5 linked regions of the Canis lupus familiaris genome follow. The protein of the gene in region 3 interacts with the protein of the main gene of each other region in a pairwise test. Links are inferred from orthologs where the notes say so. Each region holds a gene or a part of one and is shown on either strand. Other genes may lie near its edges.

Region 1 (5,252 bases), on a different chromosome or scaffold from region 3:
CCAGACTCACGCTTTAGGGATGGGGGTGCAGAGGCCAGAACAAGGCCACAGTGGGGGGGGGGGTATTCTCAGATGCCGCCAGTCCCTGAAGCGCCTCCACATCTTCCCTCACACTTATCAGGGTGACTTGGACAGAGAAAGCCTAGGTCACCTGCTGAGGGAGTGGCTGCAGGGTCTAGAGAAGGCCGGGAGGGCTGCCCTGGCTGAGCTGGTGCCCCGGTCAGAGCACCAGCGCAGAGGAGGGAGGGCCAGGGCGGGTGAGGCTTCACACCTACCTGTCCTGGACTCCCCTGGGCCCAGCATGCAACTGTCCCTGCCAGCTGCTCTCCCACCAATCGCAGCGGTGGCCGCCACCATGTCAGACTATGAGAACGAAGACCAGTGCTGGAGTACCCTGGAGAGCTTCCGAGTGAAGCTCATCTCCGTCATCGACCCCTCGCGCATCACGCCCTACCTGAGGCAATGCAAGGTGCTGAACCCCGATGATGAGGAGCAGGTGCTCAGTGACCCCAACCTGGTCATCCGCAAGCGGAAAGTGGGTCAGTGCTGCCTCAGCCGGGAGCTTTGAGCACAGGAATGGGCGCTCCCCAGCACCCCACACCCTGTCCTGTCTGCTGGGAGCCGTGGTGCTTCCATGCACAGCAGACACCCCTGGGAGGGCAAGGGTGCGTGGGCAGCAGGTAGATCTTGACCTGGGCTGGGCCTATAGGAGCTCAGTGCACAAGCCCAGCCAGCCCCAGCCTGGCCCTGTGGGTTTCAGGAGTGCTCCTGGACATCCTGCAGCGGACCGGTCACAAGGGCTATGTGGCCTTCCTTGAGAGCCTGGAGCTGTACTACCCCCAGCTCTACAAGAAGGTCACGGGCAAGGAGCCCACCCGCGTCTTCTCCATGATCATCGGTGAGGCAGGGGGCCCCATGGGCAGGCTGGATGGCTGAGCTCCTGATGGATAAACTGGGGGCAAAAGGAAGTGTGAGGGTTGCATGGGAGTGCCAACAGCGGGGCCCCATGCTGCGCCTTCTCTCTGGTGGAGAAAAGGAGGACCCATGCAAGGAGGGCACAGAACCCCTCCATCTGACCCCACCAAAGCCCTGGCTCCCGGAAGGACTGGGTGCCCACCAGCCCTTATAACAGGAGAAGGGAGGGTAGGTACCTGGCCTCATTGCTGCTGTCCTGGAGGGCGGGAAGACAGTGGGGATGTTAAGTCAGGAGGTCAGCCCGCTTCCTCCATGGGGAGCATCAGCGCCGGGCCCTGTGTGCCTCGGAGTGGGTCCTCAAGGCTGAGGCCCAGGAAGGGGTGCAGTACGGAAGGGGATCCTCTGATGCGGCCTGGCCATCTGCAGACGCATCCGGGGAGTCAGGCCTGACGCAGCTGCTGATGAGCGAGGTGCTGAAGCTGCAGAGGAAGGTACAGGATCTGAGCCAGCTGCTCAGCTCCAAGGACGACCTCATCAAGGAGCTGCGGGTGAAGGACAGCCTGCTTCGCAAGCACCAGGAGCGCGTGCAGCGGCTCAAGGAGGAGTGCGAAGCTGGCAGCCACGAGCTCAAGCGCTGCAAGGACGAGAACTATGACCTGGCCATGCGCTTGGCCCGCCAGATTGAGGAGAAGGGGGCTGCGCTCATGCGCAGCCGCGACCTGCAGCTGGAGGTGTCCTGGCACCTGAGGCCGGGTTGGGGGTGGAGAGGTGCGGGGCGAGGCTGGCGGCTGATGGTGTCTCCTCACAGATTGAGCGGCTCAAGCACAGCCTCATGAAGGCAGAAGACGACTGCAGGGTGGAGCGCAGGCACACGCTGAAGCTCAGGCATGCCATGGAGCAGCGGCCCAGCCAGGAGCTGCTGTGGGAGCTGCAGCAGGAGAAGACGTTGTTGCAGGCCCGCGTACAGGAGCTGGAGGCCACAGTGCAGGTGAGGGGAGCCCAGGGCAGGAGCGGGGGGGCCTCGCGTGGGTGGGGCGGGCCCAGGGCAGGGGCCAGAGGTGGGTTCCTGTGCGAATGGGATAAGCACTTTTGGGAGCTGGAGAGATCTGGCAGGATGCTGGTGCCAAGAGCAGGGCCCCCTCGAGTCTAGCTGCCTTCCTGCCACTCTCCCCTTCACCACCCACAGGAGGGGAAACCAGACAGGAGCAGCCCCTACATCCAGGTGCTGGAGGAGGACTGGCGGCAGGCACTGCGCGGCCAGCAGGAGCAAGCCAGTACCATCCTCTCTCTGCGCAAGGACCTGCGGCAGGGGGAGGCCCTGCGTGCCCGGGTACGCAGCTGGGGCCGGTGGACATGAGCCTGGGCCAAGCCAGGCTGGGTGGGCTGAGGGACCACCCTGTGTTCACGCAGCCCCTGGGATCCACAGCCCTGCCTCACCCCTTCCTGGAGGTGCGGGGCCTTGGCCTCCCACCCCACTCCTGGCCTGCACTCCTACAGGATGGGCAGGCCCGGGCTTTGGGTTGGCAGGGACCCAGAGACTCAAGCAGCCTCCCTGTCAGCGGGGCCTGAGCAGGGGCCAGAATGGGCGGTGGGGGCTAGCTGCTGGCTCCCGTAGTGCATGGAGGAGAAGGAGATGTTCGAGCTGCAGTGCCTAGCCCTACGGAAGGACTCCAAGATGTACAAGGACCGCATCGAGGCCATCCTGCAGCAGATGGAGGAGGTTGCCATCGAGAGGGACCAGGTAGGCACCTCGCCGCTTCCTGCCTCATGCTGGCGAGGAGCAGCCCAGGGTGAGGGCACAGGTGGGGTGGGGGGATTCCCACAACTGTGGTGCCTTGCCCTTTTGCAGGAGGGCTGTCATCAGCTCTTGAAAAAACGTGAACAATCGTGAGGGTAACTCCTTCCCGTCCCCTGCCACCCCAGCCCACTGCCAGAAAAACTGCCCTGCTGGCAGGTCGTGCCTTCAGATTCTTTCTAGTGCACATACAGTTTCATTTTTGTCTTACAAAAATGGGAGCCGTCTTGTTTGGCAAACAGCATTTTGGGTTTCTGGTTTTGTTTTTTTTTTAAGATGTATTTATTTATTTGAGATGGAGAGGTGGCGGGGGGGGAGCACATGCACATGGTGGGGAGGGTCAAAGGGAAAGGGAACCTCAAGCAGACTCCCCGCTGAGTGGGGCTCAATCTCACAACCCTGAGATCACAACCTGAGCAGAAATTTTTAAAAAGATTTTATTTATTTATCTGATAGAGAAACAGAGCAAGAGAGGGGAGGAGAGGGAGGAGCAGGCTCCCTGCCGAGCAAGGAGCTCAACACGGGGCTCCATTCCAGGACCCCAGGATCATGACCCGAGCTGAAGGCAGACACTCCACTGACAGAGCCACCCAAGCACCCTTAAAATAGCTTTTTTGACTTAAAAAACTCTTGGGTGGGACACCTAGGTGGCTCAACAGTTGAGGGCTCCCTGCAGGGAGTCTGCTTCTCCCTCTGCTTGTCTCTGCCCCTCTTTCTGTGTCTTTCATGAATAAATAAATAAAATATTTAAAAAACAAAACAAAACAACAAAAAACCCCAAACCCTTGTCACTTTGGCTGGCTGTGCTCCTGGGAACTGGAGGCAGAAGCGGCCTCTTTCTCGTCAGCACCAGGGTTTTTCTGATCAGTGTCAGTCGGTGCTTTGGCAACACTCTGGAGGGACTGGAAGCCTGCTCAGAGCCTCTAGCCTTGCAGTTACCCATCTGAATGCCTCTGGTGGGGATGACGGTGTGCAGAGAAAGCACGGTGCTAGGGTCGTGGTGCCAGGGTGTGGTGCCTGGTCCCTGTTGCCAGGGAGCTGCCTGGAGGCCACAGGCAGGGAAGAGCAGGGAAGCAGTGCTCCCACCTTCCCTGGGGGAGGCAGAAGAAGGGAGGGTGCTGTGCCACCAAAGGCAGGCTGCCAGCCAGGGATGCTGGGGCCCAGCAGCCCAGGTGAACGGGTAGGCTTCTCTTCGGGTGTCCCTGGTGGGCAACAGGAAAGGAAGGCAATTCTCAGTGATTCCTCAAGTTCTGGCCATTGAGGGCCGAGGGCTCTAGGGCTGGGTTGGCCTCCAGGCAGGGGCCGGCTGCTTGCAGCTGCCACCCTGCTCCAGGCCTGGGCACGTAGGCAGCTGGCTGACTCCGGCTATGGGTCAGAGCTGCGTCAGGTGTGCTCTGGTCAGTGTGCCGTGTCCCCCAGAGGGACAGCCGTGATGAAGGATGTAACACAGCTGCCAACAGCCATATTCCTGATCCCACCGCTAAGTGCCGTGGAGGGTAGAAGCACGGGCTGGATGTGCGGTGGGGTGGAGGGCTCGGAGATCAGAGCTGGAGGTTTCATCTCCACCTCCCATTGGAAGCTGTTATTACTACACAAACCCTCAAGCACTACACAGGCAGAGGGAGAAGCAGACTCCCTGCAGGAAGCTCTCAACTGTTGTGCTGAGAGGCGGGGGTGGTCCTGGGGGTCTCCAGCAACCACCCAGCCCACCCTGAGCCATCCTGTCCACACAGGCCATTGCCACACGGGAGGAGCTGCATGCACAGCACTCGCGGAGCCTGCAGGAGAAGGACACGTTGCGGAAGCAGGTCCGGGAGCTGGCAGAGAAGGCAGACGAGCTGCAGCTGCAACTGTTCCAGCGCGAGGGCCAGCTGCTAGCTCTGGAGGGCAGGCTCAAGCGGCAGCAGCTGGACATGCTCGTGCTGGTGGGCCTCCCAAGGGCTGTGGGCCTTTGTAGCGCCCGCTGGTCAGAGATGCAGCCACAGTAGAACACAGGATAGGCCCTCAGATGCCAGCGTGTCCCCGAGACACCAGAGCCCAGAGGCAGGGACGCTGGTCAGCCCAGGGCCAGGCCTGGCTTGGAGATTGCTCCACGGGGGGGCCTGGGCAGGTCCCAAGCCTTTCCCAGGCCCCCCTCTCCTTCTGGGGAGCCTGGGGGTGTGGCACATCTCAGGGCCTGGCAGGCCACTTTGGGTGTCATGAGGAGGAGGGAGGGGTGTTCTGGCCTGGGACCCCTCGCTGTGCCCCACCTTATGCCGACCCTGGGGGTGGCTGGGTTTCCTGTTTGCTGACTGACTCCTCTCTGTGACCACAGAGCTCTGACCTGGATGACAGCTCACCCAGGAACTCTCAGGAGGTGAGTACGCCCCCCAGGGTGGGCTCCAGGCCACAGTCTCTGCCAGACCACTGTCCCCCCAGTCCCCTTTGGGAGCTGGGCCCCAGCTGGCCCGCCTCCTGGTCCTTGGAGCAAGGACTTCCTGCCAGGTCGTTGATGCCCGTTTCTCTCCCGGAAGCTCTCGCTCCCCCTGGACCTGGAAGCCGT
Region 2 (5,252 bases), on a different chromosome or scaffold from region 3:
CAGGCACAGTGTTGGTGGTAGTAAATATTTTCTAAGTTATGGTGGACCAGCAGCCAAGTTCTCACATCTCCATGGCCTTTTCATAAAGTCTACCCAAATCCTATGGCTCATAGTTATCCCTGATTGAGTCCAAGAATGATAAGAAGCAAAAGGAAGCCCCCTGTGCAACAGCTTTGAAGAAGTAAGATTCTTTCCTTGATCATTACTAGCTCTTATTGAGCTCATCAACCTATCGTGTTATTTCAGAGGCTTCCGTCCTGCTTCTCCTCCTACTTCCACCCACAGTGTGTTTAGAAAGCACCTCATGGTGGACTGAACCCAGCCAAAAACCAGGAAATCATTATACTAAGAGGCTCCAGAAGGAACCAGTACTCAAAGGCTGCTGGGTAGATTTCCACAACCTGTGCTCATTTACATGGAAAAATAGAATCTCACTGTTCTTCCAGAACTATTTCATCAACTGTCCACTGCCACCTCATGACTGAGTTTTAGCTGCATTGATACTTAATATGGACATTTTGACAGGCCATCCATTATTCACTCAACTCACATATATTAAGTATTTACTATGTGCCAAAAATTATTCTAGACGATAATAATTCACTAAGGGTATTAAGACAGACCTCATAGCCCAGCAGGAAAGATAAACAACAAACAAATAAATTTCACTATTTCCATTAATTGTAATAAATATCACCATGAAGTTTACCTAGGTATTATAAAAAAGTAGAACAAGGGGATTCAACCTAGGGAAATAAAATTTTGAGGCTGAAATATAGAAGATGACAAGATGGCTGAGATATACTTAGGGAGCAAGGGGGTAAGGGGAACACTTATGATAGCCCCTAGATACGAAGAAGACTGACATAACACAAAGGCATCTCCAAACTCTATTCAGAGAATTTACTATATGGTAGCAAGAAAGAAATATCCTTCTAGCTAACTAGTATGTGTGTGTGGAGGGGGGCAGTTATTGAAAGGAAAACAAAAGAATCTCAAAGTAGCCAATAGGAGGAATAGGTGGTCTCTATGAGAATTGGAAAACCAATAAAAGAGTTTCTTTCTGTGACTCTAAATAACTTCTTTTCTCTTCTTCCCTTCATCCTGCCTTCCCATTTTTTCTTCCTCCCTCTGCTAGTCTCTACCTCTATCCTTTCTCTACCTCTATCCTTTCTCTACCTCTTTCTCTTCTTTGTCAAATGTCTTATTCTTTCACCTATTCCAATATGGCAGCTACCCATGAGTCTACATGATCTTGCTATTTCACTCCACTGCTAATTACAATCTCAATACCTCTCCGTTCATTTGCCTGAAAGAGTAAATCTGGTTGATCATTGGCCACTGAATTGAATTAGTTGGTTGACTGGGGTCAGATGTCCATGTACTACACATCTTTTTTTTTTTTTTTTTGCCACCCAGAATTGGCAAACCAACTCATGTCCCATGTGATCCAGGTGGAATTCTACCCTTACCCACTTGGATGAAGGATATAACTCATACCTAAGCAACTCAACATAACATGTCACCAGCCATAAAAGGTGGCTCAGGTTATGTACATAAGTCAGACTTTGGGTGAGAACTTTGAGATAAAAGACATTACAAGAGGAGATATTCACCGTCCTTTAGATAACATGATGTCATATGATAAGGTAGAGATCTCTAGCAACCTTTTTGTGACATTAAGGGGAGCCAGAGTGAGCATGGGGCTAGCCCAAAGGAACCCAAACCAAGATTTGGAGGAAAAATTCAGTTGTGGTGGTATCATCTGAGTCCTGATTCCAGCCTCGCTGGAAACTGGTCCACCCCAGGACATTTCAAACCAATAAATTCCCTTCATTGTTTAAATCAGTTCCAAGTTAGATTTTTCTATCACTTACAAAAAAAAAAAGAAAAAAAAAAAAGCCAAACTGATATGGCTTGCCCCTCACCTGATCAGTACGGGCCAAGGCTAAGGAGGGCAAGTTCATGTTTCAAGTGAGAAATGATTCTTGAAAAGGTGATCAATTCAGAGCCTATTCAAGGCAGTCGGGCAACTTAGAGGTTTAAAGAAGCAAATAGCATGACTAAAGCATGTTACTATTACAACCTGAACTCATAAGCAAGGAAGGAAAAAATAGAGGTCAGTTCTGAATTGCTTTATCTTCTTTTCTAAAGAATTTTAATCATGTTTTTCATCACTTCATTAATTTTTTTCAATTTTTCTTGAAAACAGTAACTATTCTTTCTACTATTCCTTTTAGAAATAGCTACAGGCTATGTTTGAAACATCTCAAATGAGCTCCTCTTGAATTATTCATGTGAGAAAATCTCTACGTATCCAGAAATAGGGTGTCTTTCTGTCTCCAAACTTAAAAACAACTGATTGCATTTTGCTAAAAAGAAAAACCATTTCAACTGAAACCAGATTTTAAAAAAATATCACCCCATTTTTCTTTCCACAAATCAAATTTGCTGGAGAAAATGGGGGGGGGGGGCGGTGATTGCACTACAATAAAACATTTGACTCTTTCTTACTATAGGTTTATGTATATATCTCTTACCTGTCAGAGATTGTAAATAACCAGAAGGCAGTCAGCCATCTACTCAACTAAATTGAACATTTTTCTAGCACAATGCCACAATATCTGAGCCAATTTCACTAATGGTAGATATTATTATAACTCTGGGCTGTAAGGTGAAAACCTTCTGTATAAATCAGGTCTCTATTTACTCCTCTGTTCATACTTTTCTTTTTCTTGATAAGGAGCGCAAATTTCCCAAGTTTGTATCCAAAGAAATGGAAAACATGTACATTGAGGAGCTGAAGTCATCAGTCAACCTTCTCATGGCCAATTTGGAGAGCATGCCAGTGTCCAAAGGCGGCGAGTTCAAGCTTCAGAAACTCAAACGCAGCCACAACGCTTCTATCATCGACATGGGCGAGGAGAGTGAGAACCAGCTCTCCAAGTCAGACGTCGTGCTGTCTTTCTCCCTGGAGGTAAAAAGCCCTAAACCCTTGAAAGTTTCCTGCCACAGCCCACAGGATTTGGGTGATTAGATCAGCTTGCTTTCCTCCTTGCACCCCAGGAGCAGTTATTAAAATAACAGCTTGCTAAGCATAGGTCAACTAATCAGCAAGTGATTCCCCATCTCCCATGCTTTCCTTAAGGAAATGCAGTCTTAAGAATCACCTCCTAAATTTAATCTTGCATTATTTTCCATCTTAAAGTAGCGCTCAAGGATATTGTGAAGACCTTATACAATTTAGAAAGTTTAAAATTTTGGCATCCTGTGTCACAGTTATGAGGGGAAATATCTAGCATCATTTGGTGCATTGTAGATTTTCTTTCTTGTCATCTCTCCTGTTGGCTACATGATAGAGGTCCTCTTGTTGCAGTGGAGCCTTTTCAGTTGACTTCATCACTCAAAGAAAGAACCGGTTCAGACTGGACTGTGGCAGAATGCTCCACATGTCAATAAATTTCTTTATAACTTCTATTCACACGTTTGCCTTTCATACGTATAATTTAGGGAGTGGATCTGATCTGGCTATGTTGGAATTGCCCGGGAAGCTGGTTCAGTGTGCAGATTCCTGACATCACCCAGACCTATTGATTCAAATCTTAACGGGGGTGGGGGAGTACAACATGGTCCAGTCACTTTGGAGAAGAGTTTGTTAGTTTCTCAAAAAGTTAAACATAAAATTACCAGGTGTAGAGTACAACTTTACTCTTAGATATCTACCCAAGAGAAATGAAAACACATTTGCCCATAAAATCTTGCTCCCAAAATGTTTATAGCAGCATTATTCTTACTAGCCAAAAATAGAAACAACCTAAATATGTATCCAAGGGTAAATAGACAAAATGCAGTACATCCATACAAGGGGTTACTACTTAGCAATTGATAGAAACAAACTACAGATGTATGCTTTGATTTAGATAAGTCAAAAACATTCTGCTTAGTGAAAGAAGCCAGACACAAGAGACACATGTTGTTTGATTCCATTGATATAAAATATCTAGAAGACGCGAGTCTTCAGAAACAGAAGTTAGATTAGTGTTGCCTGGGGCAGAAGGTAGAAACGGACATTAGGGACATTACTGGGGGAGATAAAAAATGTTCTAAAACTAATTTATAATGATAGTCATTCAACTTAGTAAAGTTACTAAAATCATTGCATTGTACACTTGAAATGGGTTAATTATAAGATATGTAAAATATGCTTCAATGAGGTAAAAAAAAAAAAAAAAAAAGAACCTCTGGGTGGAGTTTACCATGAAATTACCATTACCATTACCATTTTAATGAGCCACCCAGGTGCTTCTTATGCCCTCCAAAGTTGAGAACCATTCACAACTTATTAAAGCTCAGAACCCCACAAGGATTTTATGATAGACCTAGATTTGGGGAGACCAAGAGAATAGATCAAATTTCTGTAGATTTAATTAGGATTTGTAAAGACTAAATTAATTTTCTAGAACATCATTAAGGCTTGCTGTGAATTAACTGCAGATAATTTGTTTTACTGTGCTTAGTTCGGATCAAGATAGTCATAGTGTTTTCAACATGTATTTTGCAATTGGAAGTGGCAGTATTCAGTTAAATATAGAGCACTTGGTGTGTGAAAAAATCATCAGTGTAATTTCACAGAAACTTCCTTTCTTTCTTTTTTAATACCGCCACCTGAGGTACTGAGTGCTTTTTTCTTAGGTGTCTTTGAATTTGATTATTGCCAATTAGAGGTGGCAATTTATTCCCTATTGCCTCTTGTCTTTCTACAGAAAGTGGGAAAAAAGTGGTTTATTGATTTTCATGAAGTTTTTAAATCTATAATTTCCTAATTCTTTATCACTACTCAATATTATACAGCTGATTATCTGAAATATAGATGTGAGTGAGTCCCCAACCATACTCCCATGTGTACATGATTCAAACAGGCTTTAACTTGCAAGCATAAGCACAGAATGAAATGCCCTCGGGTTCCCAAATACTCTTTACTTGGAACACTAAATTGCACATATACTAAAACTGTCAGCAAACTCATTGTGCATCTGTATGTTGGGTGCGACAGTGAGGGTGGCAAGAAGAGGGAGATAGAGGACCATCATCTCATCAGGGCAGACCGGGTTTGAATTTGCAGGTTAGTACAAGACAGGTTTCATGTACTTACAGAATTGCATGGCTACAAAGGTCATGATAGAGCAGTTAACTGCAGCAAGAGAACTGAGGTCCAGGCTGCCCAGTGGCCCGGCCTTGGCCAGGGGAGTACG
Region 3 (5,713 bases):
GGGGGGTGTAAGGATCATATGTATTCCCAGGACATTCAGAAGGATATTCAGGCAAAGGAGTGTGATTCTTGTTCTGTTACTTGTTACTATTGTGGCCTCTCTGAAGAGCAGAAGGAGTGGTAATGAAATCGGCAGACCCCAGAAATCGGCCTTCTGGGTCCTGGGGTCCTCGATGTGGCTGGGTCAGTGGCCACGCGGGCTCCTAGCTACCTCCTTCCCTTGCCACACTGTCTAAGCCAGACTTGTTACCACCGTTTCTGACCTCAAAGCTCAGGACAGGGCTGAGATTCCCCAGCCATTACCATACTATCTTGCTCCCAGTGGCTACCTGGGTCTGGAATTAAGAACCAACCACTGGGAAATCACTCTGAATGCCACGAGTCTGAATATGAAATACCAGCACCACCAGAGGCTGCTCCGGGAAGGAGGTTTGCTGGGCTCCCGTCTGCCTCCTCCACTCCACCTTGGCTTGGGTTTTGTCTCCTCTTTTTGTGTTCCTGGTAAATCCAATTATATATTTATCTCCATTACTGTAGGCCACCTCAGCACTTTCTTGGGAATTAGGTTGTTTGGAGTGGGCAGAGCAGCACATACATACCTTTGCTGTCAGAGGATCAGGGTTAAGCTCATTTTCATTTCTGTGATATCTCGAAAGATCACAGAGTATTTTCTTAGTGCCTGGGCAGAGAGTCAGGAAGGAGCTGGAAGGTGAAGCACCACACTGCAGCCAGGGGTGATGCTTGAGCAACGAGGCCGGGCCTCGCTTTACATGTTTCTCATTGTACTTTATTTTCTTAATTGCCTTAATGGGCATGCGGTGTACTGCAAAATGAAGTGACATTGTTTTCCTTGTTTGCTGTAATTCACAGAGAGCCGGTTTGATCATGAAACCCAGGGACTTTTCAATTCCATTGATCTTGGGGCGGAGAGAAGGGATTCTTTTCAAGCATTCATTTTGAAGGATGTGCTCAGCAATGAATTCAAAGCCTATAAAGGGGAAAAAAAAACCCATGTTTCTTCACCATCGTGTTTCACAATAGCTATTAGATGACCACACCATCATCAAAGCCGTGGAAAATGTGTTTGCGGAGGGGGGTGGGGGTGAGTGGGGTGTCGGGGCTTCATGAGTAGCACTTGGCCAAGGAGACCGAGTCGGACACCCCATCCAGAGGCTGAAGGGGATGCTTGGACCTGGGAGGGTCCAGGCTTCGTTCAGGCTCGCATGATCCGGGAAGATGTGCAGGGGGGCCCGGCTCTGGGTTGCCTGGCATCGACTGTGAGTTCCCAGCAGCGGCCTGGCGTCCCGGTCTCTAGTGGGACGTGAGCAGCCACACACACGCGGTGGCGGGCTCGGACAGTGGGGTCTGGGCGCCCCGGAGAGCCGAGAGGCCTTTGGCACGGACAAGGGGGTGGCTCCCCAGCAGCAGCGGGGAGCGGGGAGGGGGGGACAGCCGGAGCCCAGGCCTGGCCAGGGCGCCCCCCTGCAGGTCCAGCTGCAGACCCGCCCGCGGCCCCGCCCCTCCCCGCCCCCCCGGCCCCTCCCACCCCGCCGCCCGGGGGCGCCCGCGCGCACCGCGACCCACCCGACCCCGCGCTGCAGGGGCTCCCGCGCTGCAGAGGCTCCCGCGCCCGTGCCCCGGGGCGCCATGGGCGAGCTCCCGTTCTTCAGGGCGCACGCGGCCTTGCACCCGGACCACCTGTGGATCTGGGAGACGTCCGTGTACGTGGACGAGAACCAGCGCACCTGGCTGCCCGTAACCATCGAGGTACAGCCGCCCCGGGGCGGGCCGGGCGCGCGGCGTGGGCATCCGGGGTGGGACCACCTGCCCCGACTCCCAGGGGCGGGCGGGGGGGTGGGGGGCAGCGGAGCCTGCTTCACCCGGAACGCAGCGGTGCAGACGCCGAATTAGGAACAAAGATAAAAAAAAAATATTATGGTAGCTCTGCAGGATGTGAGAGGCCTGGAATCCCAGGTCCCCACCACCGTGTCTCTTGGCATTTAAATCTCTGGTTAGGGCACAGGACACCAAGACCACAAAGTGGAGGTTTTTGCATTGTCCTCATAGATCCTGCGTGAAACATACCCCTAGCCCAATGTGGGGCAGGCTTTGTGTCCATGTGATTGAAAGGGCCTGTTTTCTTAATATGTAAAGTTTTTTTTTTTTTAATTTTTATTTATTTATGATAGTAACAGAGGGAGAGAGAGAGAGAGGCAGAGACACAGGCAGAGGGAGAAGCAGGCTCCATGCACCGAGAGCCCGACATGGGATTCGATCCGGGGTCCCCAGGATCGCGCCCTGGGCCAAAGGCAGGCGCCAAACCGCGGCGCCACCCAGGGATCCCTGTAAAGTTTTTTTTTAAGATTTTATTTATTTATTCACAAAAGACAGAGAGAGAGAGGCAGAGGGAGAAGCAGGCTCCATGCAGGGAGCCCTACATGGGACTCGATTCCGGGACTCCAGGATCACACCCTGGGCTGCAGGCCGTGCTAAACCGCTGAGCCACCGGGGCTGCCCTTAATATGTAAAGATTGACTTAAAACCAATAAGAAGGGATCCCTGGGTGGCTCAGCGGTTTAGCACCTGCCTTTGGCCCGGGGCGCGATCCTGGAGTCCCGGAATCGAATCCCACGTCGGGCTCCCGGTGCATGAAGCCTGCTTCTCCCTCTGCCTGTGTCTCTGCCTCTCTCTCTCTCTCTGTGTGACTATCATAAATAAATTTAAAAAAAAAATAAAAAAAAATAAGAAAAAAATGAACACGCAGACTAAAAGTGGTCTAGAGGCTCTAGAAAACTATAAACGAACACAGCAAGAATGGTGATTTCCACTCATATCTTGCAGGATGATCTGAATTATTTAACAATTCTAATTTATCTCATAGATGGGAAATTAAAAACAAAAAACAAATTAAAAACAAAAAACAAAAAATGATTTCCACTTTGGAAAAGTAGTTCTTGAGCAGACACGAATGCCTAGTTTATAGACCCAGCCTGCTTTCCAGGCTATGAGGTTTTGTGGGGAATGTGATAAAATCCTGCTACTCAGCAAGCTGATGCTTGCTGAGGGGTGCAGAACAATAAAATAATTGAAGCTGGTGGTAAGTTGTGTAAGGATGAGAGGCAGTAACGAGTGGCGTGGGGTCTACAGGCAAGACCCCGTCAGAGAATTAATTTGCATTTGTTTGTCATGCTTTTGTCCAATCATTTTATTTGAAACCTTTGTAAGTCTCACTTTTAGATATGCGGGCCTCATGTGTATTTCATAGAGCTGGATTTTGCAGAAATTTGTCCCTGTAGATAAAAAGTTGTGCAGAAACCTATCTAAGGAAGGGTGTGAGCCGCGTGTAGATCTCAGCGAGAATGTTCCAGGCAGAGGACCACAGATGCAAGAGATTACTGGGGATGTGGCATGTCCTGGAAAGAGCAAGAAGGCCTTTGTGGGAGGTGGAGGAACAGGGTGGGAGGTGGAGGACTGAAGAGATGAGGGAGGCACGGGCCCACATTAGTGGGTCTGTGGACCATGGTAAAGGCTGCAGTTTCTTCTGCCCACAATGAGAAGCCACTGGAGGGTGTCAAACAGGAGGTGACATGATTTTTAGACGCACACCCTGGCTGCTGTGCTGTGAGCTGATCGTGGGGCACATGACCAACGAGGTGGCAGGTTAGCTTACTGCAGTAGAGGGGCACTGGTGGAGATGGGGAAAAGTGGTCTCTCACCTGATTGTGGGTGCTGGGGAAATTTGTTTCAATGGGGCATTTGTGGGCACCTGGCTGGCTCAGTCGGTGGGGCAAGCGACTCCTGATCTCAGGGTTGTGGGTTCAAGCCCCGTGTTGGGTGTAGAGATTACTTAAAAAAAATTTTTTTTTAATGAATAAATAAAAGGGGCTGGGCTCTGTGACAAAATAAAGAAGAATCAAAGAAACTGCAGCTAAGGAAGCTCAGGGACGAATGTTCAGTTTGTCAGGAAGACGTGGGCCTGGTGTGGCCCCGTCTGGGTGTCTAGACTCATGTAAGTGCCGGTCATCTCCGCCTGGCCCGATGCCTGAGAGGGGCATGCATGGCGCAAGGGGTGAAGTTGCTGGGAAGAGTGATCGCCAGCATTTCAGATGTCAGCTGGGCCGTGAGGGTGGCAGGAAGGACCCTGGGTATTTGGGTGCTGGGGAGCCTGGGCCCTGAAGGCATGCCCTGGTCTTCCCTTCCCTTCAGACGGAGAGCAGCCTCCAGGTACTCATGCGTCAGGAAGATGTCCCCCTAGGGGAGGCCATGTGCCCCAGCCTGCTAGCCCCATGCCTGCTGCCTTCCATGTGGCAGCTCTACCCTGGAAGAAGATACCGAGGCTCAGACTCCAGTTTCTGGCGCATAGTGTACCACATTGAGGCAAGTGTGTCCTCCTCCTGGACACCGTCGAGTCATCTTGGGTGGGCCTGTCCTGTCCTCCTCGCCTCCCCCAGGCCCCCATGTCTGGCCTCTGAGGTCAATCCATTCCCTCCATCTCTCACCAAAAGCTAAACAAGTAGGAGTTTACAACTGCAGGTTTTTCAAGGATTGGACTGGGGAGACATCAGAAGACATTGACTGGGCCACCTTCTGAGGTCTCAGCCACAGGGAGGCCTCTCGGATGGGCAGTCAGGGGGTGAAGGCTGGTGGGAGGAGGGGCTCCTCGAATCCCCCGCCCCCAGGCAGGTTCCTGCCTGCTGCTCCGAGCTCCTGGAAGGCCCGGGAGGCAGGAATAGAAGGATGGAAGGAGACTTCCTAGGGCCCGGGCCTCTCACCCGCTTCTCCCGTGCAGCTCAGTGGCATGGAGGACATGCTCCTGGAGCAGCTGCCAGACCTGGAGGATGAGTGACCAGGTGAGTACCTTCGGGGCCCAGCACCTGTTGGTCCAGAGTGCCCAGGTCGGGATGAAGGACCACCCTTCTCGCATGAAGGCAGTGCTGACTCCCACCCCGACGGAACTGTCCTCTGAGGGTCTCAGGGTCCCTGCTCTCCCCATTACCACACTGGGGGCTAGTCAGTTGTCCGCGGCCCCCTTCCCCGCAGGGGTGCACGTCTGTACAGCGCCTCTCACGTTATGGGTGCTCCCACTTGATCATCACCTCGACTGAGCTGGGAATTACTCGATTTCCTAGGTTACAAAAACGAGCCTCGAGGAAGCACCATAACTGGGGCAGGTCACAGAGCCGGGTTCCCAATCCCAGTGCGCTGACACCAGGCCTCTCGCTCTCTTGGTCATCTGCCCTGGCTCAGACGCAGGGGCTCAGCCCTGGGGGCCCAGGCCGACCCCCAAGCTCCCCGTCCAGACTCCCCCCAGCAGCTCCGCTCGCACCCACCCTCCACCCCGGCCCTCGCCCGTGCCACATCCTCCCCTTTGCCTTTGACTCTGTCTTCTCTTAGCCCAGGTCCCGCGCTCCTGTCTCCTCCTGCATCCCCCGAGGCCACGTCCTGCTGGCCCGCAGAGGGGATGTTCGTGCTTGCGGTCACCTTCGTTTACCAGCTGTGCGTGTCCTGTTCCAGTACTTCCCCAGTCCGGGGGGGATTGGGGGGCCGAGGATGAGCCCTACACAGGGCCTGCTGGACCTGCCTGTGGCCCCCCAGTCTCCCCCGCCGGCAGGTTGGCACTGGAGAGGTTGGTACGGCATCCTCCGGGTGTCCCAGCAGCACCTGGCCTCTGGTTTTCCCCACGCCCTGATGGTTTTTGGCCTCTGTCTCCATTC
Region 4 (5,211 bases), on a different chromosome or scaffold from region 3:
AGCAACCAAATCATAAACACAATCCATTTTAAAATGACAATCCAAGAAAAAGCTATAATTTAATTTACGTTTTCTGCTAATAAAAAAATGAAAGAGAATGGGCCCTATGGCAGCCGTGGACTTAATACAGCACATGGCCACTTTTCCTTCAAGAGCACGCCTGTCTTATCAGCTGGCAAAAATTCAAGGGAGCTGTTTTCAAGCTTTTGTTACACAATTGCCTGTGTGTGCCATATGTATCTGCAGTCCTCCTGGCTCAGACATAGCCCATGAAGTAGGCCCTCTAGCCAAACGAATTGCCCAACCCTGGCTAAATTCAGACCTGTTGTTTTGATAATCAGCTCCTGACAGCTGATTTCTGTCCCAAGGACAATACACTTCTGCGGCCCATTCTCCTCTAATTGTGCAGCAGCTCATCAGCAGAGATGAGCCGAGGCTCGCCGCAGCCTCGCACCCTCAGAATTCACAGGCTGTCACCAGCTGCCGTCCAGACACATCTCACTTCCCAGCCGTAGAATCCCCTATTGAGTGGGGAGGGCAAGGGGGAGGTGTTTATCCATTCAGGGTATTCAGCTGTACATCCCATGTCCATGAAAATTCATGTGTTCCGTATTGTGTTGCATAACCTCAAGGCCAGATTTAGTCCTTGAATGTGCATGCACAAGGCCAAATGTACTCAGTGAGCAGCCCCATACGCGCTCCAAAGGCCGAACGTAGCTTTCAACACAGTTCAAGGATTGCAAGAGGAAATATTCATCACTAAACCCGGCTTCAGAGAGAAGCACCTGTCTAAAAAATGTAACCAACTCTGCTTCCTACTTTGACTCCATCTGATGGCAATTCTAATTATGATGCATTATTAATAAGGAGTACAATCATCTGTCTGGATGAAAAATCTATCATGCTGCCCAAATGCGCTCAACTGAATCTGTCTGTCCTCTTTGCAAAGGATGTTGTTGGAACTGGGAAAACCATGAAAGTGCTACTCAGTAGCATAAAGAAATACAAGCCCAACATGATTAAGGTAGCCAGGTGAGTAGGACATTCACATCATTGTTGCTTCTGCATCTCCCCATAAGCCCGAGAAGGATGCTAACACAGGATGTTGTCTCCAAAGAGAGCAGTCTATTCCAAACCAGTGACCCCTTTGCCCTGGGGTGTTATGGCTTGACCACACTGAACAAATAGCCCATTTGACTGCTGGCCTGAGAGAGAGGAAGGGGAAGAGGACATGCTTTGCTAGGTGTCTGAGTCTCTCGCTACTGTGCCTCCATTAGCGGCTTCCAGGAGCAGCTGGCTGAGCCTGGTGCCAGAGTCTCTCTCCCTTCCTTTTATCTAGAATCACTGATGTGGTGCCACAGTAGCAGGAGGGTGAATTAGGGGACCGTGATGGTGCCCCACTTGCTCCAGGGGGAAAATACATATCTTAATGATGTTTAGTTCTATTTGCAATGCACAGAAGTTTTATCTGGATCACTAAGTGCTTTTTTCTTTGTTCTTTCTTTTTTTTCTTAATGGTAGTTTGTTAGTGAAGAGAACACCTAGAAGTGATGGCTTTAGACCCGACTGTAAGTGGTTTTGGCTTTTGTTGGTTGTTGGTTGGTTGGTTGGTTGGTTGGTTGGTTGGCTGGTGGTGTTGATTCATGTTGAAGACTCTCTGATTTCCTATTTGCCAGTATTCCATATGAAGCACAAGCTGTTAAGGTTTGATAGTCCCACAAATCTCTCAAGGTCTCCCCAGCCTTGCTGGGAGGATAGAGTCCTCTACAATAAGGGTTTTTAAATTTCCAGTTTGCGTTTTTCCCAGATACTCTGTCGTGTGCATTGGATATTTTCATTTTTGGGTTTTCCATAGTACCGTAAAGCTAAAAAACTGAGCTAATGGGTATCAGGGAGGTAGAGGGAGACTTGACCCCGCCAGACTGGCTGACATACAGGATCCCTGCCTTGTCCACTGTCCGTGTCAGACGGGCATGGGAGGGCATCATAAAGGGTTAGAAGGATTCGCATACTGCCTCCAGAAACCGTCACCAGACAATGCATAATGCTGACCTTCAGTAAGCCTGAATTTTAGCACACAGAAGGGGAAATCCGAGACACCTCTCCCATCACCTTCAAAGAAAAGTTCAGTAACACAGAGAATTGGCAGAACAAATATCTCCAGATACCATCTTCACACTTGACTTCGGACATATGTTCTGGAGGACTTTGCTCATCCAGGGCACTTTACTGATAATACAAATAGTTCCAAAGCCAGGAAGAATAAACAAGCAGCTTGATAATTTATTATTCTAACACTAGAGGCAACTTTTTTTCACTCATATAGGCAGACTTCAGCTTGATTTTTTATAACTTACATTTGCTCTAAATCCTCTGGGATAATTTGGCTACAGTTCCCATCAGCAAGCTGAAAAAACATCAGAGCAAGAGGAGTACACTATGGCCGAGTAATGTGCCAATGACATTTCGCCAGTGACTCTTTATTCTAAAACAAGTTTCATCTATGCTGGGTGTATTAAATCTAGACAACATCATTTCTGGGCACAGAGACCCAACAGCACGTTTCTGTCCAGTTACTGGCATGGGGAATATAATCTGGGTGCAGTAAAGTCAGGCAAAGTGAGGAAATAGAAATCTTCTAAGGAAATCACGTAAGATCCCATATAGATAAGATTTTAACTGAAGTTGAAAGAGTCACTTCAGACATAGCCAACTACTTACAGATGATTTGTGTCACTTACAGCAACGACATGAATAAAATAATAGGTAACACTGGTAAGAGGTTATGATGGGCCCTACACTCTTTAAAGAGCTACACAGAGATTAACACATTTACTCTTCACCACATTCATCCAAGGTAGATGCTACTGATATACCCATTTTGCAGGTGAGGAAATTGAACACAGCAAGATTCAATGGCTTTTGAAGGTCACATTGCTGTAAGCGTAGCATCAGTACTGGACCCAGGCAGTCTGGTTCTGATCACTGCCCTTGCTCTTGCATGACATCTATAAGTAACACCGCAGTTGCAAATAGAAGTGTAGGAACTGCATCCATTTACCAACTAGACGTAGGTCACTCTGATTCCTAACCATTCCCCTGTCCAGCATCCTTCTTCTACTCCATGACGGCTCTGAAGGTTTGGCCTTCTGAATTGGCTTTTCTCAGTCTGAGGTGCCATGCCTACTGTAGGGATTGATTGCTCCATTTACTGTAGAGTCATTATTGTGGTAACAGCCTGGGTTCTCTGGGATTTACTGATATCCTTTTAGCTGGGTCAGAATCTCTGTTTCGTTTCCATGGATTTCTGAGGCTTGATACTTTTGATTCCTTTCTCATAATTGACTCTTTCCCATATGTTCAATGGCATCTTTTATATGCGCTGACATCTTTTCTTCTGCTCTTGCTTCTCTTCTTTGATTATATTTCTCAAAGCAACCTACAGTTTGGAGGGACAAAGGAGGGTCTTTATCAGTAATATGTAATGCAACCCCTCTAGAAAGTAAGTGTCTCACCTCCAGCACTTTCTGCAAGCAGGAATCAGTTGCCTTCTCCATGTGAAAGCATCTTTGGTCATAGGGATCAAAATGGTGGTGAGTAGTTCACCAGAGGGATAACTTTCTCCATGCTCTAAGTCCACTGGCTATGCCAAAGTACAGTTTCATGAAAGTAAGCAAGAATATTTCTCATCTGCAATGTTGTAATAAACAGATTCAAAATAACTAGAGTTTGAAAAACCACTGGACCATAGGCACATTTATTCTGTTTCAAGACCTCTGAAGGAGAGCTATTCTCTGTTCCTACTATCTTTTCCATAAAAATTATCTTCCTTACAATAAATTTTCCTTTATTTAACCTAAGTACCTCATACTGCATTTAAATCCATTTATTTCCATTCTTCCCTGAATAGAGATAGAGAGCTAATTAATATCATCTGCCTCCTTGATTCAAAGACTAGTGTTGGAATAACCCTTAGTGTTCTCTTCCTCACACTAAACAATCCCACTTCCTTTCATCTTGTCTCCCAGGTTTTGCTTCTCTGCCCTTTATCCAGCTGAGGACTCTGAGCACAGTGGGAGAACCACTTCCTGGCGGCAAAAGCCTGTGCACCTAGTCACCTACCAGAGGACTGGAATACCTTCTGTCTGAACTGAACTTTATGCTCCAAAGTGTTTCCTTTGGCATTATATCATTGGATACTGCTTGCTTTGGAACAGCGGGACTATATGACTAACTCATAGATATTTCTTGTTATCCCCTGGGCTATCTGAGCCCTCTCTTAGCTCCGTGTGGTAGGAGTACAGCCATTCTTCCTTGTATGTTTGCTTGTCTATCTTGTCTTCCTGCCTCGTCACTCTGGTCCAGGTCCTATTGGGCTCATCCTATGCATTACTTATCATTTTTCTCACTTCTGCCTAAATGAAAGGTCCTCACAGTGTAAGTGCCAACTATAACATATGATGGCTTTCTCCTTATGTTATCTATATGTTATTCCTTTTTTTTCTCTCTCTCTCTCCCTACTCAGATGTTGGATTTGAGATTCCGAACTTATTTGTCGTGGGTTATGCCTTAGATTACAATGAATACTTCAGAGATCTGAATGTAAGTCATGCATGCAAATCCCTAGCCTTCTTTTCACAAATAACAGTTATATGAATTTAACAAATTATTGAAATAGTAGTAATGATGGCTGCCACTGATTAGGTATGTTCTGCATCAGAAATATTCCGGACACTCTGCATTCATAATCCCAATTACAGCTGTATACAATTCTAACTATTCGCCTTATGAATAAGAAATGGTTTCTTTAAAAAAAAAAAAAGAAAAGAAAAGGATTTTATTTTATTTATTCATGAGAGACACACACACACAGAGAGACAGAGACAAAGGCAGAGGGAGAAGCAGGCTCCCTACAAGGAGCCTGATGCAGGACTCGATCCCAAGACCCAGGGATCATGCCCTGAGCCGAAGGCAGACGTTCAACTGCTGAGCCACCTAGGCGTTCCAAAATGGTTTCAACATATATAGATGGACCCCCAGTTTATACCCCCAGCTGTGTGACTTCAAACAATGTTGAATGATCTAGAGATAGATAGCCTACCCAAAATAGACCAATCATGCATGTGAGTGTCTCTCTCCTAAGAATTAGAAACTTAAACCCAAAGTCACAGAAATCAAAGGATTTTGGTCTTAAACCACTGAATGGCAGGA
Region 5 (5,252 bases), on a different chromosome or scaffold from region 3:
TTATTTATTTATTTATTTATTTATTTATTTATTTATTTTATTTTTTTTTTTTTAAATTTTTATTTATTTATGATAGTTACAGAGAGAGAGAGAGGCAGAGACACAGGCAGAGGGAGAAGCAGGCTCCATGCACCGGGAGCCTGATGTGGGATTCGATCCCGGGGCTCCAGGATCGCGCCCTGGGCCAAAGGCAGGCGCCAAACCGCTGCGCCACCCAGGGATCCCCCTAAGTTATTTAGAATCATCTTCAAACATAGGGAACTCATTCTCCTATTTTATAATGGGTCTGGGGAGAGAGATTGGCATTGTCCTTTCCCTAGTATAGTTTATAATCCATTACTCCTCTAGGCTTTTTGAGCAATCTCTTCTCAGATATGTGGTTCACCCATATCTGCCTGTGTATTTCTTGATTGCTGTAATTTATTGAAACTTCCTTGTATTCATTAGGAACTTCGGCACATGACCTGTAATTTTCTTACCCCTCCAAGTTCTGCCACTATCTTAGGCCTTTCCATGTGAATAACTTCATAGTCACCTTATCTTTTTTGGCCCCTTCCTTCTGTTGATGACTTTTATATTTTACTTCAGCCATGCGCATCAGTAATGAAGACCTGACATCTGCTAGAACCTATCCACTATTTCTTTTCCCTCTCTCCCTTACTATCACAATGCCCATTCTTTGATAATTTTTTTTTTATTTTTTTTTTTATTTTTTTTTGATAATTTTATAAAGACCTCTGCTTCATTGCTTTTTCTTATCCCCCTAGTTGATTACTCCGTAGATCATAATCACCTCAGGGATATAGACTCCCTAAGAACGGAATGAAAGCTTAGGTACCCTTCTCCAGAATGCACATAGATATAGAAAAAATTTACATACAATTCCAGGAGTTTCTCGATGTCTTTAAGCACATCCATGTAACTACTAAGAATTCTTGGATCCCTCAGTAAATCCCTTCTCTAAATAAATACTTGTTGAATGTTTCTTTGGTTTTCTTTAATATTGTTCCATCAATTGTCCTTTCTTTCTTATCCTTTCTTTTGATTTACAAAACAGTTTAACATTTGTTACCTTTTAAATTCACCTAATAGTTTTCTTGTGAATTAAGTTGTTTACCAAGTTTGACTCTCCTAAAAACTTTTTATTGTGGAAAATTTCAAATGTGTATGAGAAAGGAAAGTACAAGGAATCCTGTATACGTATCACCTAACTTTATTGGTTATCAGCCCAGAGCAATCTTTTCCTCTATATTTCTCCTCTCTTGCATCCCTACCTTTGGTGATCACTTTGAAACAATTTCTAGCTATCATATAATTTCATGTGACATATTTTAGTATATGTTTCTAAAAGATAAGCATTCTTATTATAAACTTGATTATAATACTATTATCATGGCTTCAACAATAGCAGTAATTCCTTAATATCAAATATCAAATCAGTGTTCTAATTTCCTTATTATTTCATAAATGTTTCCTCCTCATTGGTTTGTTGACATCCAGAGCTAAACAAGATGCATGCATTATATTTGATTAGTATGTCTCTGAAGTCTCTTTTTATCTCCATCTTTCTCTGTCCCTGGAAGTTTATTTTTTGAAGAAACCAGTTTTATTTTTCTTTAGTTTTTGTTATTTGCTTTCTTCATCTCTGATGTGTTATCTAGCATGCTCATCTATGTCACATGTTTCTTATAACTTGGTAGAGTTTGGTAGGCTTGATCTGATTCAGGATTAATTTTTGACTTCGTAGGTCAAAATTTTTGACCTTCATAGGTACTCCATAGGTGGTATGGCACTTTCACCAGGAGATACTATAGTCCAATTGGCTTTCTTTATGATGTTAGCACCCTTTGTTGACTATTGCTTTGATCCACTACTTAATTAGGTGTTTAAAAAGTGGTGACAGTCTCATTCTGTTCTCCCATTTTCATCTGTAATTTGGAGAACTTCTACAAAAGGCCAAGTTTGAATTTTAAAGCTGTTTTTTTTAATAATTTTCCAGAATGGCTTCCTTTGGATGGAAGAGGAAAATTGGTGAGAAGGTCTCGAAGGTCACTTCCAAGCAATTTGAAGCTGAAGCTGCCGATGAGAAGGATGTAGCTGAGAATGAAGAAGGAAACTGGCTTCATGCCATTAAACGTAGGAAAGAAATTCTCCTTGAGGGCTGTGCTGAGAAAAGTAAGCAGCTGAAGGATGAAGGAGCTAGTTTGGCTGAAAATAAAAGGTATGTTTTTAGAGTTTTCTTATGGAGAACAGTTTACATTGCTGTCAGTAAGGAGACAAAGAGTTAAGAATCTGTAAATTCATGTTTTAAACATCTGATCTGGGTGCTAAATTAATCAGATAAATAAAAGTTTTAAAGACACCTTTAAACATTTTCATGGAATCGGAAAGTTTGTAGAAGAGTCTTTAAGATGCTTGGAATGTCTGCTTTGCTGTCATTTTTGTCCTGTCTGAAGAAGAGTAAACGCTAAGTAAAATGTAATCCAAGTTATTGGTTGGTAGGAGATAGTTTAATTTCTGGAAACTTTGTCCTCGTGTTCTTATATATACCAGACTAATTAGATGTTTCCTGAAGGACTTTGATGGCATGTATTTTTTTTTAAGAGGTGTTCAGTTATCCTTTTCCATTGGCTTTTGTATACTTCAATAAATGCAGGTGCACAGGAATTTGATAGTAGTTTCATTTATCCTCAGCCCTTCCTCAGCTAAGCTCTTATACGTTTCCTAATCACCCTTCACTGTTTTCCATTTTCCTTTTTTTTGTACTTTCTTGTTCCTTTTCCCCTGTCTCTGGGTAGGTCTTTCAGTGGGACCAAAAATCATTCTTTCACAAATCAATGGGGTCTGGACCCATTAGTTCATAGATTCTATAGAGAGAGCTGGAATTCTCTATATAGGCAAAGAAAATGATCTGTACCTGATACCACATACAAAGATGGACTCTACAGAGCTAAAAAACATCTCAGTGTGAAATGTAAAACTACACAGTGAATGAAAGAAAATATGGAAGGATATCTTTATAACCTAGAGGTAGAGAAAGACATTTTTATTTTCAAAAATTTCAAATCAATATTAGGGTTGAAAGAACAGTTTAGCCCTTGTATTCTTTCTATCTAGATTCAAAAATTACTAATAGTTGCTTTATCTATTTCAGTGCAACATATACATACATTGACGTATGTAATTGTAAATTTACAATTTGTGATCTGTTTCAAAGTATGTTGTAGACATAATGACATCTCTTTCCTAATTTAGCCTGCTTTTTATAAGAATGAAAATATTTGGAGGCATCTGGCTAGCTCAGTCAGTGAAGCATACCCCTCTTGATCTCTAGGTTGTGAGTTCAAGCCCATGTTAGGCAGGAAGGCTACTTAAAAGAATAAAGATACCTCTTACTAAACACTAATATGCAGTCCATTTTTAGATTTTTCTAATTTTCACTGAAATGTCTCTTACAGTTTTTTTTTTTTTAAACCAGGATCCAATCAGAACTCATACATTTCATTTGGTTATTATATCTCTTTAGCGTTTACTTAGGTCCCCTACTTTATCATTGGCATTTTTGAAGAGTCTAGACCAGTTTTCTATTTGATTGATCCCTTATGGATGTCATTTAACTGGTTCCCCTATCTCATGCATTTCTTCTAAACTGAAGTGTGGAGATTTGATTTAGATTCCGATTAACTTTTTGACAAGAATACTTAATAATCAATCTTGCACTTTCTATTGTATCATATTGAGAGGAAATAACATCAGGTTGTTGTCAATGGAGCCATTTGAAAGATCTCATGCCTATGTTTTCTGTGTTTAATATCTGCTGAAAGTCATATTTTAATAAAAATCTTGAAACATTTATCCTTGGTGAAGGAAATATATTAGAGAATTATACTGGACAGCCTGGGTGGCTCAGCGGTTTAGCGCTGCTTTCAGCCCAGGGTGTGATCCTGGAGAACTGGGATCAAGTCCCGCATAGGGCTCCCTGCATGGAGCCTGCTTCTCCTTCTGCCTTTGTCTCTGCCTCTGTGTGTGTGTGTGTGTGTTTCTCATGAATAAATAAATAAATAATTTTAAAAAATAATAAAAAAAAGAATTATACTGATCATCACGAGGAGTGGTTTTTTTTTTGTTTTTGTTTTTTTTTTTGCATTAAGGATGATTTTGAGAAGCTATATGTATGGTCAGCAGGAGTAATATCTGAATAGGTCTGTGTTTAGGACAGAACACTCTTCAGCTCACCTAGAGATCTAAAATCAGGCCTGTGTGCTTTTGACTAGTATCTTCTATGTGGTAATAAAACATTTGAGAAATTAAAAGTAGTACTGAACAAAAAGCTATTTTTTTTTCCTTCTTCCTTAATTAAAATTGGTCAGGGTGGTTATAAGATTCCTTGTCAGTCATTTTAGTCATGAATGAGTCAGAGTTGAGGAAGCAACATTTTAGTTTCTAGGTCTGTTCTTATTTTTGATTCTTGGAGTAATCTTTTATTAATATATTTTAATATAAAACATCAAACGGTGCCTAAACTATAGTATATTAGCACCTCAAATTGGAAAACAATTATGGAAAACAAATATCAATCAAGCGCAATTAACAGCCTAATCTTACATTGTGAATTCTACATGTGGTATTAGTTTTTTTGTAAAACTGTGCAAGATTGAGCATTCTGTCTTAGTCAGAAGAAAACCCACTATAAATTTTCCACATTTATGAAATCACTTTCAGAACATCCATAAAACATCTTTAGAAATTCCTGTAAATGCCTGTTAAAAGTTCATTAACTTTGTTTTTGCCTTTTTCTCTAGACCACACTAGTGTGCAGGAGGAAAAAGCAATTTGGTTATTACCATGGGAGTCCCTCTGAATTTCCTGTGGTACAAGAGAGATAGCAACTTTGTAGATAAACAAAATAACTCTTGTTTTCTGCCTGCATGTCAAAACATTGAGTCATTTCACCAAAATCAGCTGGGTTGGATGTTTTATTTTGAATGGAGAACACTGTGAAATGATGGAGTTTGTTGCTGGTCAGCATTTGTTTTGGAATAATATATACACAGCTTTAGAAGATAACTAAACAGAATAAAAGGAATCTAGTGGGTTGAACAGTTTGGCTACGCTGTGCCAAAACTAAATAGAAATATAGTTTAAAAAGGCCTAAGGTAATATTAAACTTGATTTAAGTAATATGAGGAATAAAAAATAATATAAGGAGGAATAGTGAAGCTAAATTGAAAGAAAACGAACAAAACCTCAGT

Evidence for each region. The genes of interacting proteins can lie anywhere in the genome.
Region 1: the proteins of TCL1A (region 3) and CARD9 interact in binary tests that used the Homo sapiens proteins (3 or more experiments, as listed by UniProt). The two-hybrid records come from large-scale screens. The link is inferred for Canis lupus familiaris from reciprocal best matches to the Homo sapiens genes TCL1A and CARD9.
Region 2: the proteins of TCL1A (region 3) and CADPS interact in a two-hybrid assay, tested with the Homo sapiens proteins (3 studies listed by BioGRID and IntAct). The two-hybrid records come from large-scale screens. The link is inferred for Canis lupus familiaris from reciprocal best matches to the Homo sapiens genes TCL1A and CADPS.
Region 4: the proteins of TCL1A (region 3) and PRTFDC1 interact in binary tests that used the Homo sapiens proteins (3 or more experiments, as listed by UniProt). The two-hybrid records come from large-scale screens. The link is inferred for Canis lupus familiaris from reciprocal best matches to the Homo sapiens genes TCL1A and PRTFDC1.
Region 5: the proteins of TCL1A (region 3) and TTC33 interact in binary tests that used the Homo sapiens proteins (3 or more experiments, as listed by UniProt). The two-hybrid records come from large-scale screens. The link is inferred for Canis lupus familiaris from reciprocal best matches to the Homo sapiens genes TCL1A and TTC33.

What each region holds. Positions count from the first base shown.
Region 1 is NC_049230.1:49,112,565-49,117,816, forward strand, and holds part of CARD9 (caspase recruitment domain-containing protein 9), read left to right. Parts: intron 1-300; 5' UTR 301-301; coding exon 302-539; intron 540-760; coding exon 761-898; intron 899-1,341; coding exon 1,342-1,646; intron 1,647-1,723; coding exon 1,724-1,903; intron 1,904-2,101; coding exon 2,102-2,245; intron 2,246-2,530; coding exon 2,531-2,656; intron 2,657-4,443; coding exon 4,444-4,635; intron 4,636-5,024; coding exon 5,025-5,066; intron 5,067-5,223; coding exon 5,224-5,252. UniProt on the Homo sapiens protein: Adapter protein that plays a key role in innate immune response against fungi by forming signaling complexes downstream of C-type lectin receptors.
Region 2 is NC_049241.1:28,613,629-28,618,880, forward strand, and holds part of CADPS (calcium-dependent secretion activator 1), read left to right. Parts: intron 1-2,743; coding exon 2,744-2,977; intron 2,978-5,252.
Region 3 is NC_049229.1:64,860,585-64,866,297, reverse strand, and holds the start of TCL1A (T-cell leukemia/lymphoma protein 1A), read left to right. Parts: upstream 1-1,646; coding exon 1,647-1,766; intron 1,767-4,205; coding exon 4,206-4,376; intron 4,377-4,788; coding exon 4,789-4,845; 3' UTR 4,846-4,849; intron 4,850-5,393; 3' UTR 5,394-5,713. UniProt on the Homo sapiens protein: Enhances the phosphorylation and activation of AKT1, AKT2 and AKT3. Promotes nuclear translocation of AKT1. Enhances cell proliferation, stabilizes mitochondrial membrane potential and promotes cell survival.
Region 4 is NC_049223.1:6,451,826-6,457,036, forward strand, and holds part of PRTFDC1 (phosphoribosyltransferase domain-containing protein 1), read left to right. Parts: intron 1-949; coding exon 950-1,032; intron 1,033-1,521; coding exon 1,522-1,568; intron 1,569-4,525; coding exon 4,526-4,602; intron 4,603-5,211. UniProt on the Homo sapiens protein: Has low, barely detectable phosphoribosyltransferase activity (in vitro). Binds GMP, IMP and alpha-D-5-phosphoribosyl 1-pyrophosphate (PRPP). Is not expected to contribute to purine metabolism or GMP salvage.
Region 5 is NC_049225.1:69,538,970-69,544,221, forward strand, and holds part of TTC33 (tetratricopeptide repeat protein 33), read left to right. Parts: intron 1-1,999; 5' UTR 2,000-2,000; coding exon 2,001-2,221; intron 2,222-5,252.